Linked DNA regions of Arabidopsis thaliana. The protein of the gene in region 2 interacts with the protein of the main gene of each other region in a pairwise test. Each region holds a gene or a part of one and is shown on either strand. Other genes may lie near its edges.

What was found.
Region 1: the proteins of AT3G62260 (region 2) and AT5G11550 interact in a two-hybrid assay, tested with the Arabidopsis thaliana proteins (one large-scale study listed by BioGRID).
Region 3: the proteins of AT3G62260 (region 2) and AT4G23050 interact in a two-hybrid assay, tested with the Arabidopsis thaliana proteins (one large-scale study listed by BioGRID).

The regions. Positions count from the first base shown.
Region 1 is NC_003076.8:3,707,433-3,711,114, forward strand, and holds AT5G11550 (ARM repeat superfamily protein), read right to left. Parts: upstream 1,972-3,682; 5' UTR 1,716-1,971; coding exon 771-1,715; 3' UTR 529-770; downstream 1-528. Other genes in the region: AT5G11560 (catalytics), read right to left, coding at 2,302-2,562, 2,674-2,787, 2,868-3,062, 3,148-3,243, 3,324-3,545, 3,625-3,682.
Region 2 is NC_003074.8:23,037,783-23,042,559, reverse strand, and holds AT3G62260 (Protein phosphatase 2C family protein), read left to right. Parts: upstream 1-1,989; 5' UTR 1,990-2,168; coding exon 2,169-2,336; exon of another isoform or gene 2,337-2,714; coding exon 2,715-2,903; intron 2,904-2,976; coding exon 2,977-3,212; intron 3,213-3,482; coding exon 3,483-4,044; 3' UTR 4,045-4,270; downstream 4,271-4,777. Other genes in the region: AT3G62270 (HCO3- transporter family), read left to right, coding at 1-32.
Region 3 is NC_003075.7:12,078,182-12,084,784, reverse strand, and holds AT4G23050 (PAS domain-containing protein tyrosine kinase family protein), read right to left. Parts: upstream 4,726-6,603; 5' UTR 4,674-4,725; coding exon 4,327-4,673; intron 4,136-4,326; coding exon 3,703-4,135; intron 3,594-3,702; coding exon 3,468-3,593; intron 3,365-3,467; coding exon 2,842-3,364; intron 2,715-2,841; coding exon 2,674-2,714; intron 2,585-2,673; coding exon 2,516-2,584; intron 2,424-2,515; coding exon 2,323-2,423; intron 2,198-2,322; coding exon 2,119-2,197; intron 2,028-2,118; coding exon 1,929-2,027; intron 1,843-1,928; coding exon 1,774-1,842; intron 1,678-1,773; coding exon 1,628-1,677; intron 1,522-1,627; coding exon 1,440-1,521; intron 1,364-1,439; coding exon 1,269-1,363; intron 1,174-1,268; coding exon 1,077-1,173; 3' UTR 529-1,076; downstream 1-528. Other genes in the region: AT4G23040 (Ubiquitin-like superfamily protein), read left to right, coding at 6,163-6,246.

The DNA of each region.
Region 1 (3,682 bases), on a different chromosome or scaffold from region 2:
AAAAAAAAACAATACATATGATCGGAATCATTTTGGGAGTTTGAAGGAACTAAACATAATATGCATGTCGAAGTCAACTTATTGCAAATAATTTTGAAATGATTCTGAATTGGAAATTCATGAAGCTTAATTATTTTATCTAAATAAGTTTAATATAGGTTTGAGTGAGATATCGAGATTAAATGATAAGAGTCTTTCTTCGAGGAGACATTAGAATTCTACACAAAAATCGAAATTAATCTAGTCCTTGACAATCAGTTTTCAATTAATCAAAAACCTATAAAATTCAACTCAAAACCAATCGTATGAAACTTCATTATACCATATAATCTGGTTACTTAGCTTAAATCTCTACCCGGCGATGTTTCATGCTTGAGAGACTAGGTACATAGGACACTAGGAGTACTGCATATATGGTTACCTCATGAGTTCTCATCGTAAAATCATCCAATAAAAAATGGTTTCCTGCTTAGGTATACGGTATACCATCTTGTATCGTTAAAATTTATAGCTCAGTTCGTTGCTAACAGTCAAATACGTCTTTCCAGGGTAAAAAATGTGGAAATTTGTTCCACTGTAAAAACCTAATAATTTTTGACATTAATAATTAAAAGGGATTATAATGTAATATATACAAAGATAGGGGAGACAGAGACGAAGGCCCACACATCTTTAACAAAAGAACAACAAGCCCGTGACCCCAAAATAAAACTAGCTTTCAGATTTATTATTTTTCATCTGACATAATTGCAACCGTTAGATTTCATTTCTCAGGTCCCATTCTGACTCAGATCCAACCGTCCATATTCCTCTAGTGTCTTCAATAGTTGGGCCCCTTTTCTTTTTCCTCTCGCCGTACACTCTCCTTCCAGCGCCAACGCCACCGCCCGAGCCACTTCTTCCGCCGGCGCCACCGCGATTTCCTCGCCGGAATCCCCTCCTTCGCCGCCTTTCCCGTAGACCACGGAAAGGATGCTTATGGCGTATTCTCTCCCTCTACCAGCCAATCTCGCCATCACCGCTACCATCGCCGGCACCGTCATCGCGTGAGCGCGAACCTCCGCCGCTCCTTCTGCCGTTGTACACATTAGCTCAAGAGCAGCTAAGGCTCGCTCCACCGCTGAGATCTCTAGTCCTGCCGCTGTTTCCACCACCGCTCGTGCGGCTCCAGCCTCGACCGCCACGTGGCGGTTTCCTTCGGCGAGGCAGAGAGCGAGTAGGATCTTGGTGACGTATTTTGCCGTTACGATCTTGTTGTTGCTACGAAGGCAAGAGACGAGACCTCGCATGAGACCCGGTGGACAAGTCGGATCAGATGGCGGGTCAGGTACGACTACCCGCTCGAGTAGCTGTAGAGCGAGGAGCTTGTCGGATTCAGAGACGGATGTGAGGTGAAGCTCTGCGATCTGGAAGGTTTCTTGGAGAGTGGTGGTGACCGGAAGAGGCGGTGGTGGAGGAGGTGGATGAGGAGGAGGAGGAGCGGTGGATGGAGTTTGATCAAGATGATGAGGAAAGCGCCATTGAGTGAAGCTTTGGGAAGTTGAGGTTGAGGAGGAGGAAGATGAGGAGGAAGTGGTGGTGGCTTTACGGCGAGGTTGCTGCTGGTGAGGAGAGGTTGGGCTGAGGACGGATTGTGTGCAGCGGCGGAAGAAGCCACAGGAGAAGAGAGGACGCGGTGGCGCGTGGGGTTTCGGTTTCTGGTTTGCTTTCATCATCGCTCACTAGGGAGACTGTGTGGGACTTTCAAGTGAAGTGGAGTGAAGTGAAGGGAAGCGTCTCTGTTTTAAATAGGAAGAAAATAATTGATTCGAACCAAATTTGTCAGGCGTTACACTTGTGTTCTCCCTAAGATTATTGCTCGCATTAAACCATTAAATAATATTTATTATAATCACATGTTTGTGTGTGGGATGGTCCCCAAACATACGAATTTACGATTTGGACGAGGGTTTAAGTATAATGGCGACATCTTTGTTTTTTTGGATCAATCATTATCTGAAGACGATAAAATGCAGGCTGATTTGGGTCTTAAAACATGGAATTTATTGCTGTTTACAAAAATGAAAAGGTTAAACAGAGGCTTCTATAAACTTTAAATTCAGAAGGTGCAGCTCAACTCTAGAATGTGACAAAGGTCACAAAGCAAGAGTCTGTAAAGTGTACTCGATTTCCAAAGCCTAACATCAAGAATTTAGCTAAGACAATGGTTTTTTCTTCTAAGAGTGCGAAAAATGGTTCATAAACATTCTACAATGTGAAAAAGCCCAAAGAGAGGAAGGATTTTAAACCTTACGGTTCCAATCACCTCCATTTTTCGCTTAGTTCTTTCTTCTCTGAAAGGACCCATGTGATGTAGATGGCTGCAACAAGTGCTACAATCGTGATCAGGAGAAGAGCGTAGCTGAAATCGTCGGTTAGTGAGTCGTAGGTCTTTGAAGGAGCAAGCCTTGTGTAGAAGAGATCCACTCCATAGGCAAAGACGTGTGTTGTTGACTCTAGCTTGGACGGAGCTGTTACTATGCCTCTTAGACCTTCTACTTTGTGGGAGTGTGTAACATACGCCTGTGGAATTTGACAAGTGCGTTAGAAACTATACATCACTTAATCTAACTGTAACCAAAACCAGGGATTGCTCAGTTGTAACAAATATAAGGAAAATGGGTTTGAATGAACCTGAGGAATGATGGGTAATGTATCAGTGAGAGGGATGATTCCTTCTTCTTTTTCAGCTTGAGACGGGTTAAGTGTCCGGCGTGGATCCACAAATCGTTTATCAAGTGCCAATATCTAATCATTCATAAAAACAGTTTTGAGTATCAGTTATTCAATCTATATAGGTATCTCTATATGAGAAGATATGTACAAACCTGATCCCCGATGGTACCAATGAGAAGCTGCTTTGAAGTTATACCCTTTGCTGTGGATGTCACCGCAATGGTTTTCACAGACTGAGCAAAGAAGTATGACTGTGACTTTGTAAACACCTCTGGCCTAGAGTACGAAGTGATGGGTGCTGTTAGATTGTGCTTTCCCAGAATGAGTTTCCACACATTTTTGTTCTCCTGCAAATAAAATTTATAATGATTCACAGTGGGAACATCAAATCAACTGAAAAAATATTTTTGAGTATGAACTATGAAGTCATACCGCCCTCGACTGATCATAGATCTCAACGACCGTAACCTCGTACTTGTGAGCTCGAAGATTGAAATAGTGGTAAACAACCCAATTTTCACTAAACACCTGAAAACAATTTGAAGCCTAAGAAAGTTGCATTGAATCTGTGACAAAAAGAAATGAGATGAAATTGCATGAGGACTTACCGCATGAACCGGCCCTTGACAGCCTTGATGTGACAAACGGTGCAGTATCCGTCCTGTGATGGTGTCAATGAGGTATACTACGAGTGATGACTCCTCTGGCGTAACTGAGCCAATCTCACCAGCACCTTTTGGTGAAACGGTGGCCACAAACAGTAAGTTTCTTGATACATATTTATACAATAGGTCTTGGTCTGTGTTGACTTTGGCTTGTGTATGAACAACCTGGAAATAAAAAATCGTAAGCCATGATTAAAAAATTTAAACATTTATGTGATAAAAAAAACATTATCAAGACTTATACCTCATTAGGTTTTCGTGTTAGTGTTGAAATGATTTTCTCTGATTCCGAAGGAAACACA
Region 2 (4,777 bases):
GTCCTTTAAACCCATCATCATCGTCGAAATGAGTTTACCGATGATGGAGGCTTGATAAAACCGGAGGAGATTATGTTTAAAATTAGTTAATTAATTGATGTTGTATCTTATGCATTCTTGAGTTTTTTTTTTCTTTTTACCTATGTTTAAAATTATGTTTGCATTTCTGTTCTTGATTTAGAATCATTGTAAAATCTCTCTAAATACCATGTCAAATGTCGGTAAAACATTATACTATGTAATAATAAAGCCATGAAACATCAGCTTATAATATAGACGTTCACGATAAAAGAAAGTTCGAGAGAAAAAATCTAACGGAAACATGAAAATAAAGAACAACAAGAAAAGTTAGTGGCTTTTGCCTTTTGGTTATGTGGTTGTCTTAAACTGTGTTTGTTGCGTCTCGATTTTTATTGTCGGATCAGAGATTAGATTAAGACATTCTCATTGACCATTTTTCCACGCGTAGGTACAGTAACTTAACCTGATTAAAACCATTCTAGTTTGACTAATATAATGTTTTAAAGATCCTTCGCAGAATTTAAATACAAAAAAGGGCTAAAAGTTGCACCTTTTTCTTATTAATATTATAGTCGAAATCTTAAGGCCAACTATTCCCTTAAAATCCAACAAGGAAGAAAACCTTACTGAATCCAATGGGCTTAATACTTTCAGACAGTTTAAAGATTTATGGCTTTCCTCGAAATTATGATCCATTAAATGCGTGTCTCCTCATTGATGATCATCAGCAAATCGTGTGTCATATTATATTAACCCTAATCATAATATATTAATACTATAACACCAGCAACATTATGCTGAGTCATACATATATATGCTAATAAGTACTAGTAGTTGTTAATTTTTATTGGTAAGATACCATAACACTAGTTTTATATTAGACTTTACACGAACAAGTTTCAAAATTTTAGCAACGCATTAGATCTTGAGCATCTTGGTTTCGTCTAAAGAAACATTATTTAGTTGAATGTCTTACATAGTAAGACAAATATTTTTGGGTAATATATAAAAAATGTGATAATTTTTAACTTTTAAATTAGTATTTAGGTTAAATTAGATCATACATTCTTAATATGATAACAAAGTGTATTACCGCCTTAATAGACAGTTTTTTTATAAAGAATGGTTTTGCACCTACTCTATACAAATAACATGTCTTATTATATTTTCGAAATGTTAAACTTACTCATATTGCTTAGGACAAAATTTTTAAGTAATAAATAAAACGTGTGGTAATTCTTAAATTTGGATTACTATGTCAGTTTAGATATTTTAATTAATTTTTCCAATAGTCAAATTGAGAAGGAAAAAACAACCACATAAAATAATAAATTAGGTAATGGCTTTGGATCATAGAGAGCACTTAACTTGTTGATCTACGCAATGTGTAAAGCTTGATACCACTAAACTATTATTCGTGACAAAAATTAAAAAGAAAGAAAAGACTGCTGACCTGGCATGACAGATAGTTAAACCTTGGGAGGCAAGTTCATCCTGGTGATTTTAACGGTCCAGATTCATCTAGATGCAACGCCATTGTGTGATTAAAGATCGTCACTTGCAGGTGTGTACACGGACAAACCTTTAGAGATTCTGGTCGAGAAAGTTCTGTACTTCCTAAAGTACCCCTAAACATTTAATCCTATTACAGAAATATCCCCGTTATTTCCAAAGAAAGTCCTCGGAAGTTGGTAAAAGTTTAAAAAGGAGTGGTTCAGAATCCGACGTCGTTCGAGGGTACGCGCGTCAAAGCTCGAATGACACGTGTCATAATTAGGGCTTAGTCTTAGCCGTGTGTAATCCACAAACTAAACAGAGATCATAATCTACATAAGCAACCGACTCGCCACAGATGATGGCCACGTGTCAACTGAATTTTACCGGTTACCCAGTCACCCATAATCGAGTCTTTTTCTTCTTATATATAATCAGAGAGAAAAAGCCCACGCGGCTCAGAAATTTCGTCCACGAGAGGAATAAATTCACACGCGAACTTCGATAGTTGTTAATTTTCGTTGAACACAAGTGACGAATTTGAGAGAGAAAAAAAAAGAAAATCAGAGATAAAGAATTTGAGTTTCTTGGAATTAAAGGATCGATTTTGTTGAAGTGAAATTGAAATTGATTGTGAAAAGAGAAAGAGACTGATGGTAGCAGAAGCAGAGGTTGTGTTTCAACAGAGTTTACCGGCGGTTCTGGAGATTGAGTTGTTTGACGGAGTTTCCTCCGCCGTTAAATCTCCCGTTTCTTCTCCGAAATTGGGTTTTACTCAGTCAACGGCGTCGGTTTCCGGAAGTTTAACGACTTCTCCTGTGGTAAGTCTTGTTTAAAGTTTACATTTTTATTTTCTGGGTGAGAATTTAAGAAGCTGGGTTCTGAAACGTAATTAGAAATTCGACTGAATTATTGGTTTTAGTCTATTAGGAATCATCAAATAAGATGACTTTATTGTAAATATTTTGCAAACATATCCTTGGATCTCTTAGGCTTAGAGGACCTCTAGTTCATGTGTGTTTGCGTGTCGTAGCAAATATAGATGCTTGTTGTCTATAACTTTGCCTTAATGAAGCAACTTTAAAGCTGTTGGAGAAGCCCTTTGTAGTTATTGTGTGTTGTTAACTGTCTTGTCTTCACTGCTTGTGTTTTATTTGTTGCTATACTCAATTGAGCATCCGTGTATACCTTTTATTTAGCAGGCTGATATCTTTCCAGAGGGTGATTGCGATCCTAGTGTCTTGGATTATATTCCGACCATCCGGTCTGGAAGCTTTGCTGATATTGGGCCAAAGAGAAACATGGAAGATGAACACATTCGCATAGACGATTTATCTTCTCAAGTTGGTTCCCTTTTTGAGTTGCCGAAGCCTAGTGCTTTCTATGCGGTATGTATCGTTGCTTCCTTATAATCTGATGCTCTTTTAAGTATACATTCTGACTTGACTTTCCTCTGCTTAGGTTTTTGACGGGCATGGAGGACCAGAAGCAGCAGCATACGTACGGGAAAATGCCATTAGGTTTTTCTTTGAAGATGAGCAGTTTCCACAGACATCGGAAGTGAGTAGTGTTTATGTGGAAGAAGTTGAGACTTCATTGAGAAATGCGTTTCTTCAAGCTGATCTAGCTTTGGCAGAGGATTGCAGTATCAGCGATTCTTGTGGTACCACCGCTCTGACTGCTCTTATTTGTGGAAGGTACGTGTTTCATTCAGTTTTGTTTAGTTCTCAATCTATCTTTAGAATCTTAAGAGATCTCTTGCGCATATACGAAGATGTGCACAAAGGTAAATAAATCTATTGTTAGGATCTTAAGAGAGCTCTTACATATACTAGATTGTAAGTATATAACCTGTGACATGAGCAATATTGGCTATGGTTTTATACTTTTGGTTACTCTTTCTGTTGTTGTCTTTGGGGTTTAACTGTGATTTTCTCATGGGATACTTATGTTCTTGTCTTTTGCAGACTCTTAATGGTTGCAAATGCCGGAGACTGCAGAGCGGTTCTATGCAGGAAAGGCAGAGCGATAGACATGTCTGAAGACCATAAACCGATTAATCTACTTGAGAGAAGAAGAGTGGAGGAATCCGGCGGTTTCATCACTAATGACGGTTACCTAAATGAAGTCCTAGCTGTAACCCGAGCTCTGGGCGACTGGGATTTAAAACTGCCACACGGCTCTCAATCTCCACTGATCTCGGAACCAGAAATCAAGCAGATAACTCTAACTGAAGACGATGAGTTTCTTGTGATTGGGTGCGATGGGATTTGGGATGTCTTGACGAGCCAAGAAGCGGTTAGCATTGTTAGGCGTGGCTTAAACCGGCACAACGATCCAACAAGATGTGCGCGAGAGCTAGTGATGGAGGCTCTGGGGCGGAACTCATTTGATAATTTAACTGCGGTGGTGGTATGTTTCATGACAATGGACAGAGGGGACAAGCCGGTGGTGCCATTGGAGAAGAGAAGGTGTTTTAGTCTTTCGCCTGAAGCTTTCTGTAGCTTGAGGAATCTGTTGGATGGCTGAAACTAGTGTGTTTTCTGGTGAAAACCGATGATTATATAATTGATGATGACGAATAATCTCTCCCACGGCTGCTTTTGTATTTAGAGATTTTACGCAGCTGAGAGAACTCTTTTGAGATATACTTGTGTATTAAGTGTGTTTGTTGTGTGCACAGTATGCGATTACAGTTTTGTGTACATACATACTGTTAGTTGTCTATGAATAACGAAAAAGAAAAGATTAAGTGATCGCCACTTTGTCAAGATAAAATTGCATCTTTATTTTTTTGATCAAGATAAAACTCCATTCAACACGACCATTTAAAACTAGGAATGTATCATCATTTCGAGACTAACTTTCGTTCTTCGCTTAATAAGATTTACAAATTCATGCAGCAGAAACTATTTTTGAACAACTTCAGTTTAAAGATAAATCAAACTTATTCAAAAATCATTAGCAACACGTTTAGAAACCAAAAAGACAAGGCTACTACTACGCATGAGAGCAGCCTTAAGAATCAAAGCGTAGAAACTAATCACTCATCACAAAACTAAAATCCTAGATCGAATATTATTCGAGAATTAATCACTTGACTAAAAAGAATACAAGACAAATCATAAATTCCGCTACGTTGCCATTGCAAATCATCTATAAATCTGCAAACAAATGATTTGAAATGCTCTCACAACTACGTTATAGGATGATTCAAGAAGTAGCAACCAATGAATATCAAAGTATAGAACGAACAACATAA
Region 3 (6,603 bases), on a different chromosome or scaffold from region 2:
AATTAAATATGCTGTCACTGTATTACGGTGACGGAGTATCCCTTTACAAGATTCCGCTTGGGTAATCGACACGGTCAATCAATCAATCACACATAAATAACACAAGAGCAAACACATGGTAAAGAAATTGGCATCAAAAAAGAAAATAATATGGTAAAGATGTTTCAATTGAAATATAGTTACATATAAATTGAAATACTACGAAATACATGCAAGGCAAAACAGCGAAAACTGTTAAAAAGTTTATTTGTCTAGAGGTCACAACCATGTGTTGTAAACGAAATATTACTATGCAGCTCGATGTGATTTGTTCTGACCTAACCAGACAAACAGACAAATATTTTCAATCCCCCAAAATTTCTCCTTTTTCAATACTTCTATAAGAGAAGTTCCCTTCACCCACGTCACATGCATGCACAATACATACTCGGTATAATAGACCCATCTTTGTATCCTTTTTTTTTTAATTATGCTTTTGTGACTGCGTCAATTTCAAGATGCTGTAATGTGGAATTACGAATAAGGATTGAAAAAAAAGTTTTATTTAGGGTTCTGACTCTCTCTTATAATTAGGTGCTGAGAAGCTACAGACGACGCAGTGATGGGAAGCTGTAATAAGAGAATATTAAAGCAAAAGAAGCAATGCCTACGAATTGTCACTCCTCCTTCTCTTACCCCATCAAACCAAAACCAACTACATTACAATTCACTACAAGACACCATCAATCTCACAGTTTTTCTCGTATTTCTCTTTTTCACCCTTTTACTTCTTAAATTACATCTGAGTCCTCCTCTGGCCTCTGCGCCTCTGCCTTTTTAGATCCCATTTTACAACTTAGCTCATAAACCGACAACAGTTTATATAATGCATAGTTTAACTAAACTAACCTAAGATTCTACTGTATATTACTTTGATTTAGCTATTTTTGCTTTCTTTCTTTCAATGAAAACATAAATAGTAGTTTGGTATAACACAATGAAACATTTGTATAGTAAGTGATCAGGACGATGCTTTCGTTTTCTTTTCACGTCCTTTGCTTTGTGAACTATCCTTTAACCATGTACTGTTTACCTTCTCAATCGTCTTCTTCTTGCGCACCTGACCCTGGTTTGCGGAACAGGCTCATCATCTGACTAATTAATTCCTCGAACGACGGTCGTTTTGCTGGATCACTGTTTCAACAATTTAGAACAAAGAATATAAGAAAAATCGCCCCTAAGTTTGTAGGGTGTATTTGATGAAACAATTTACAGATGCGTCTTCTTACGTTTGCCAACAATCCTGTATTATGGATGCGATCCGGGGATTTAATCCTTCAGGTAAGTCTAATCGTCGATCCATGAAACCAACAACTCCAACAACCTAATTTAAAGTTGCTAAGATTACTACAATCTTATGATCAAGCTATAATCTCATAAGAACAGAATTTGAGAGGTACCTGAATAGAGTTCAAACGGTCCCATGGTACTAACGTAGTCATTAGCTCCCATAAGATGACTCCAAAGCTGAACACATCACACCTATTACAACGAAAGCATTGAGCTTTTAGTCCAAAAAAATGTTCAAGTTATTGAATAATGTCTTCGAAAAGAGAACAAAAAAGGGTTAATATTATATCCAACGTACTTCTCATTCGAAGGTTCACTTCTGAGAACTTCAGGAGCCATCCACTGCGGCTGCACATAGAAAAAAGTTGAACAATGTTTAGTAACAGAAATCCAAGACTGTTTTGTGGATTAAAAGAATCAGAAATGGCTTTTGTTAAACATTACAGTTCCTTTCCCGGATTTAGTACTCAAGAAGGTTGCGTTCTTCCACTTTGATAACCCAAAGTCTCCAACCTAGGGAAGAAAGAGTTGAAAGTCCATGCAATAGTAAACTCATTTTACAAGTCTTCATAAATGTAACTTGAGAAAACTGTTTGTACCTTGACATTCCAGTTCTTGTCCACGAGTAGATTGGAAGATTTCAAGTCTCTATGTACAATTGGCGGATTTCTGCGGTGTAAGTAATTCATTCCCCTAGCCTGCAACAACAACAGAGAACCCGAATATAATCAGCCTTTCATATTTTTTTCTTTCATTGTGAGGGAGGTTTTTGGAAGATCAGAGTCTTACAACATCAAGGGCCATTCTTAAACGGCGTTTCTTGTCCAATGGCTGATTCGTATTATGAAGTATTTTGAAGAGACTCCCTCTAATCATCAAAACCGTATAGAAATAACTTAGCACAGAGTATTCATCTGCAATTTCTTGCAGCATAATATAACACACTCGATAAGGAGTAACACTACTTCCAGATCCATACGTCAATAATCTCACCTTGGCATATATTCCATGATTATGGCAGATTTTTCTTCTGTACATACTGCTCCCATAAATAGTAGCACATTCGGATGTCTCAGTTTCTTCATAATGTTGATCTGAAGATATTATTGATCAAAACTGATTTATTTTGTCTGGTACGAGTAACTTCTAGAAACAATTCATAACAGAGAGAACTAATTATACATACCTCCTTTTTGCACTCCGTCAAAGTCATCGCATTGTAATCACCATCGAAGTAAACCTTAATAGCAACATCCTGGTCCAAATAGATTGGACTAGTTAGTTATCCATGTGCAACTAATACTAGAATCATCCTTATTTTATCTTAAATTACAGAAAACTCACCGATCCATTCCAAACTCCACGATGAACCGCAGCAAATGAACCTGTGAGAAAATGTAACGCATCAGAAATACTTGTAATCTGATTTAAACAGCAATGACACAGATCTGAATTGAATTTGCATATCTAAAACGTGAAAACGAGTGTAAGACTTTGGTAAATGAAATACACCTCTTCCGACCTCCTCCCCAAGTTGTAGATCTTCCCATCGTATCTCACATGACGAATCAGTAACTAATCTATTATTCCTTTGGTTGACAGGACTTTGTTGCCTACCGCTGTTGACTCCTAGAATTGGCAAGGGATCAACACTAAGACGAGTATTCCAAGCATCTTCTATCTCACCATTTAGGTCCGACATTTTTGTTCCCCGCATGCCAGACACCAAACCACTCTCTAGTCCTCTGGGAGGTTTACTTTGTCCCAGGTTCCCAATATACTGAAAGCGATCTCCATTATGTATCAAACCCTCAGCTCCATTTCCATAGACATCTGAAATTCTAACTTCAGCCCTTTTTGGTTTTCCATTGCCATTGTCTCTGAAAGCCGTGCAGGTAACTGCATTAGAAGCCTTAGAACTACCTCCACTGCCACATGCTGACTTATTGATACCGTTTCTTAAGATAGGCTCATTATCTTCGGTTCCTTGGCTGCCAGTAATCTTCCTTTGCAGCTTCCCCAAAAACTTATCCGCCTACACTAGTGTATATGCAGATTTAGCTTATAACATGAGACAATAATCGTTCTAAGAAATGTCAATGAGAAGTGTCTTGTTTAAGGAGCCAACGAAGACTTACCAGTGAGCCATACTTCTCGAAAGTTGTGGAGGCAACAACCGGAACATTTTCATCTCGGCTCCTCGAATTATGATTTCCATTGAAGGAATCATCTCCATTTCTCTGTGGTAGAAGCTTCGACGCCTTCTTGGTTTGTGCAGAAAACAGCAAAACAAACAATCATTCATGTTGCACACGAATTATTATATAAAAAAAAGTACTGAGAAACTTCGAACATTCATGATGTGAGATCTACCAGGTTTGAAGCAACAGCTGATGAATATTGTGGGACAACTGGAACCTGTGATGCTGCAGCGATCTGAGGCCTCGGGAGGTGCCACTGATGTTTTCTCAAGTTTGATTCATGTCTATTATTACTACGAGCTTGTTGTTGATGCTCATTACTTAGTGGATGCATCCTATTGAAAAGGGTTGCATCGCTCGAGACAGTAACAACACCAACCAGCTCACCGTTTTCATACACAGGGCTTTTAGTCACCAAAGCCATAAATAGTTCACCAGTTTTCTTCTGAAACGGAAACTGACCAGTCCAAGTCTCTCCACGGCACACCCTATTCCTGATACCAGTAAGGGAATTACGGTATTCTTCGGTTACAAGCACATCAATAGTTCTGTAGCCAACAACTTCCTCAGCATACCAATGGTACAGATTCTCAGCAGAACGACTCCTGAATAATAATAAAAGAATCTCTCCACTCAGAAACAAATAGTAAATGTCCACTTGCATATACAATGAATCGCTATATATAACTTTGTTTAACTACTTAAACACACAATTCAATGAAACAGTACTTAGAAGAACTATAAGCTCCTGATCTACAAACACCATAGATGAAGAAGAAGAACTTATCAAGCTCACCAGAATGTAATTTCTCCAGACGCAGCTGATGTTACATGAATCGCGTGTCCCATTGAATCCATCAAAGTCCGATACGCACTATCAGCGAAATAGAATCCTGAAACAGCTCTCTCCCAAGTCGCCGTCGGATTATCCCAGGAATCCGCCGCCTCCGCTTCCACCTCTACCTCAGCCTCTTTCTCCGTGTCCGTCTCCAATCCCGTCGCCGATTCCTTACCGGTTCGACTCTCCTCCTGAAGCAATAAGTCATCAACATCCTCCCTTAGTCTCGCTTGACTCGTCTCCATCCTCTGACACCACTCCACCAAAACCTGGTAGAGACTCGATTCCGAGTTGTTTCCGGCCATCGTAATCGCCGGTGACTCTGTTTGAGCAGTCGCATCAAGATCCGACTCTGATGAAAATTCACAAATTAAAAATATAATTTAAAACGTTGGCATTCCCTCATTGTTTATTATTTTTCAGCTGCTTCTTAAATCACTCGTGACGCCATAATTAACAAACCCCAGCTATTATAAACACTACGACGCATTAGCTTACGCCACGTGTGTTTGTTACTAATAGGATGCTGCCACTTGTAGAATTGCCGATGTAATTGAAGGTTGAAGAAGATTGAGAGATAATAGACGAATTTGTCACGATTTAAAAGTGGTGATTGACGAAATTAACCTCAATATAATACCCATTCTTGTTGCCGCCATTGCCAAATGGGCCTGAGTTTGATGGTGTTTTTATACCTCCAACGGTATTTGTCAAGAAGAAAATAAAATACACGTCTCTTCAATGTTCACATTCACATTCCTCTAAAAGTAATGTGCCCAATAAACTCAAAGTTCAAGTTGATTGAAGAACAATAACAATAAATTATAGTTGAATTTAAATGTAATCAATTATTAGTAGTATACTTCAAATCATTGTAGAATAATACTCTCCATAAGGTTTCTTAGAGGAAGCAAAGTTTAATTGGAGTCACAAAGCTAGTTTTGTTTCAATTTATCTAAAGATTTACTTTGTTTCTGGGACACAAACTGAAAGCCAACCCTTTTTTTTGGACAAAAACGACAATTCTTATATTACAAACGGCCGAAAGAGAACATGACAGCTCCTTTAAAGGCACTATATAGAGGGAAGATTGGGATGATCATAAAGTGAGGATATCTTTGGATATTTTAGTTTTGGGTTTGGTTTTGGTTTTTCGTTGTTGGACCGAAAAGCCTTTACATTTTAAGGCTTATTTCCATATTTACTGTCAAATTGACAAATAAAATATGTAATTGGTGTGAAAAAAAATAAATTATGTAACTTTTTTTTTGTACATTAAAAATTATCTAACTTTTAATGTATATACACTATAACAATTAATATCATGTTAAAAAAAAAGGTCAAAAAGTTCTTGGCTAGTAAAAACTAAAAAGATAAGTTTAATCCACTCTGAATTTGACTCGAATTCCAGTTTATAAAATATAAAGACTCTGAAAAAAAAAATCCAATTTCAACTGAATAATTATTTATTTAGTTATTCAGATTAGGACACTCCATATATTATCTCAAGTTCTCTGAAAATAATATCTTGAATATCACCGAAAATATACAAAAAGAATAAAGAAAATAAAGTTTAAGAAAATCCACACCAAATAAAAAAGGAGAATTAAAAAAAATGGAAAAGAAGAAAGACCCTAAAAAAGGCTTTAAAAATCTTAAGAGTCACCGATCCAATTCCTTTCTTCACTGCAATTTTTGTGATTTACAACATATATTAATTCTTGCCTCCTCCTTCACTCCAGCTCCAAACACAAATCTCCGACGAAAAACTTCTCTCAAGCTTTCTCTTTTCTAATGGCGACACCTACTCAGGAAGCTATTGACACCTTCATGACCATCACCGGCTCTTCCAATGCCGTCGCCGTTCGTAAGCTCGAGGTGATTCAATTACACTTCCCTGGGTTTTTTCCGTCTTCCTTCTATTGTTTAGATGTTATTTTGTTTTTGATTGAAGTATTTTTGGAAGTTTCTCGAATCGCTCAAGTGGTTGTTCGTTGGATCATCGAATTATATCTCCTCTACGCTTTTGTTATATCGTTGTTAAGCTCATCTTGATGCGTTTAGGTCGCAATTGGAGTTAATTGTGTTGAATTTTAGTTTATCCGATTATCTGATTGAGTTTTTATGTGGACTTCTTACAGAATTCTCATGCTTATTGGTTTTGTTAATTGTTCATTGATATCTAAACGAGTTTATACCTGCTCATTGTGAAATTAGTTGTGAAAAGTTTTGTTC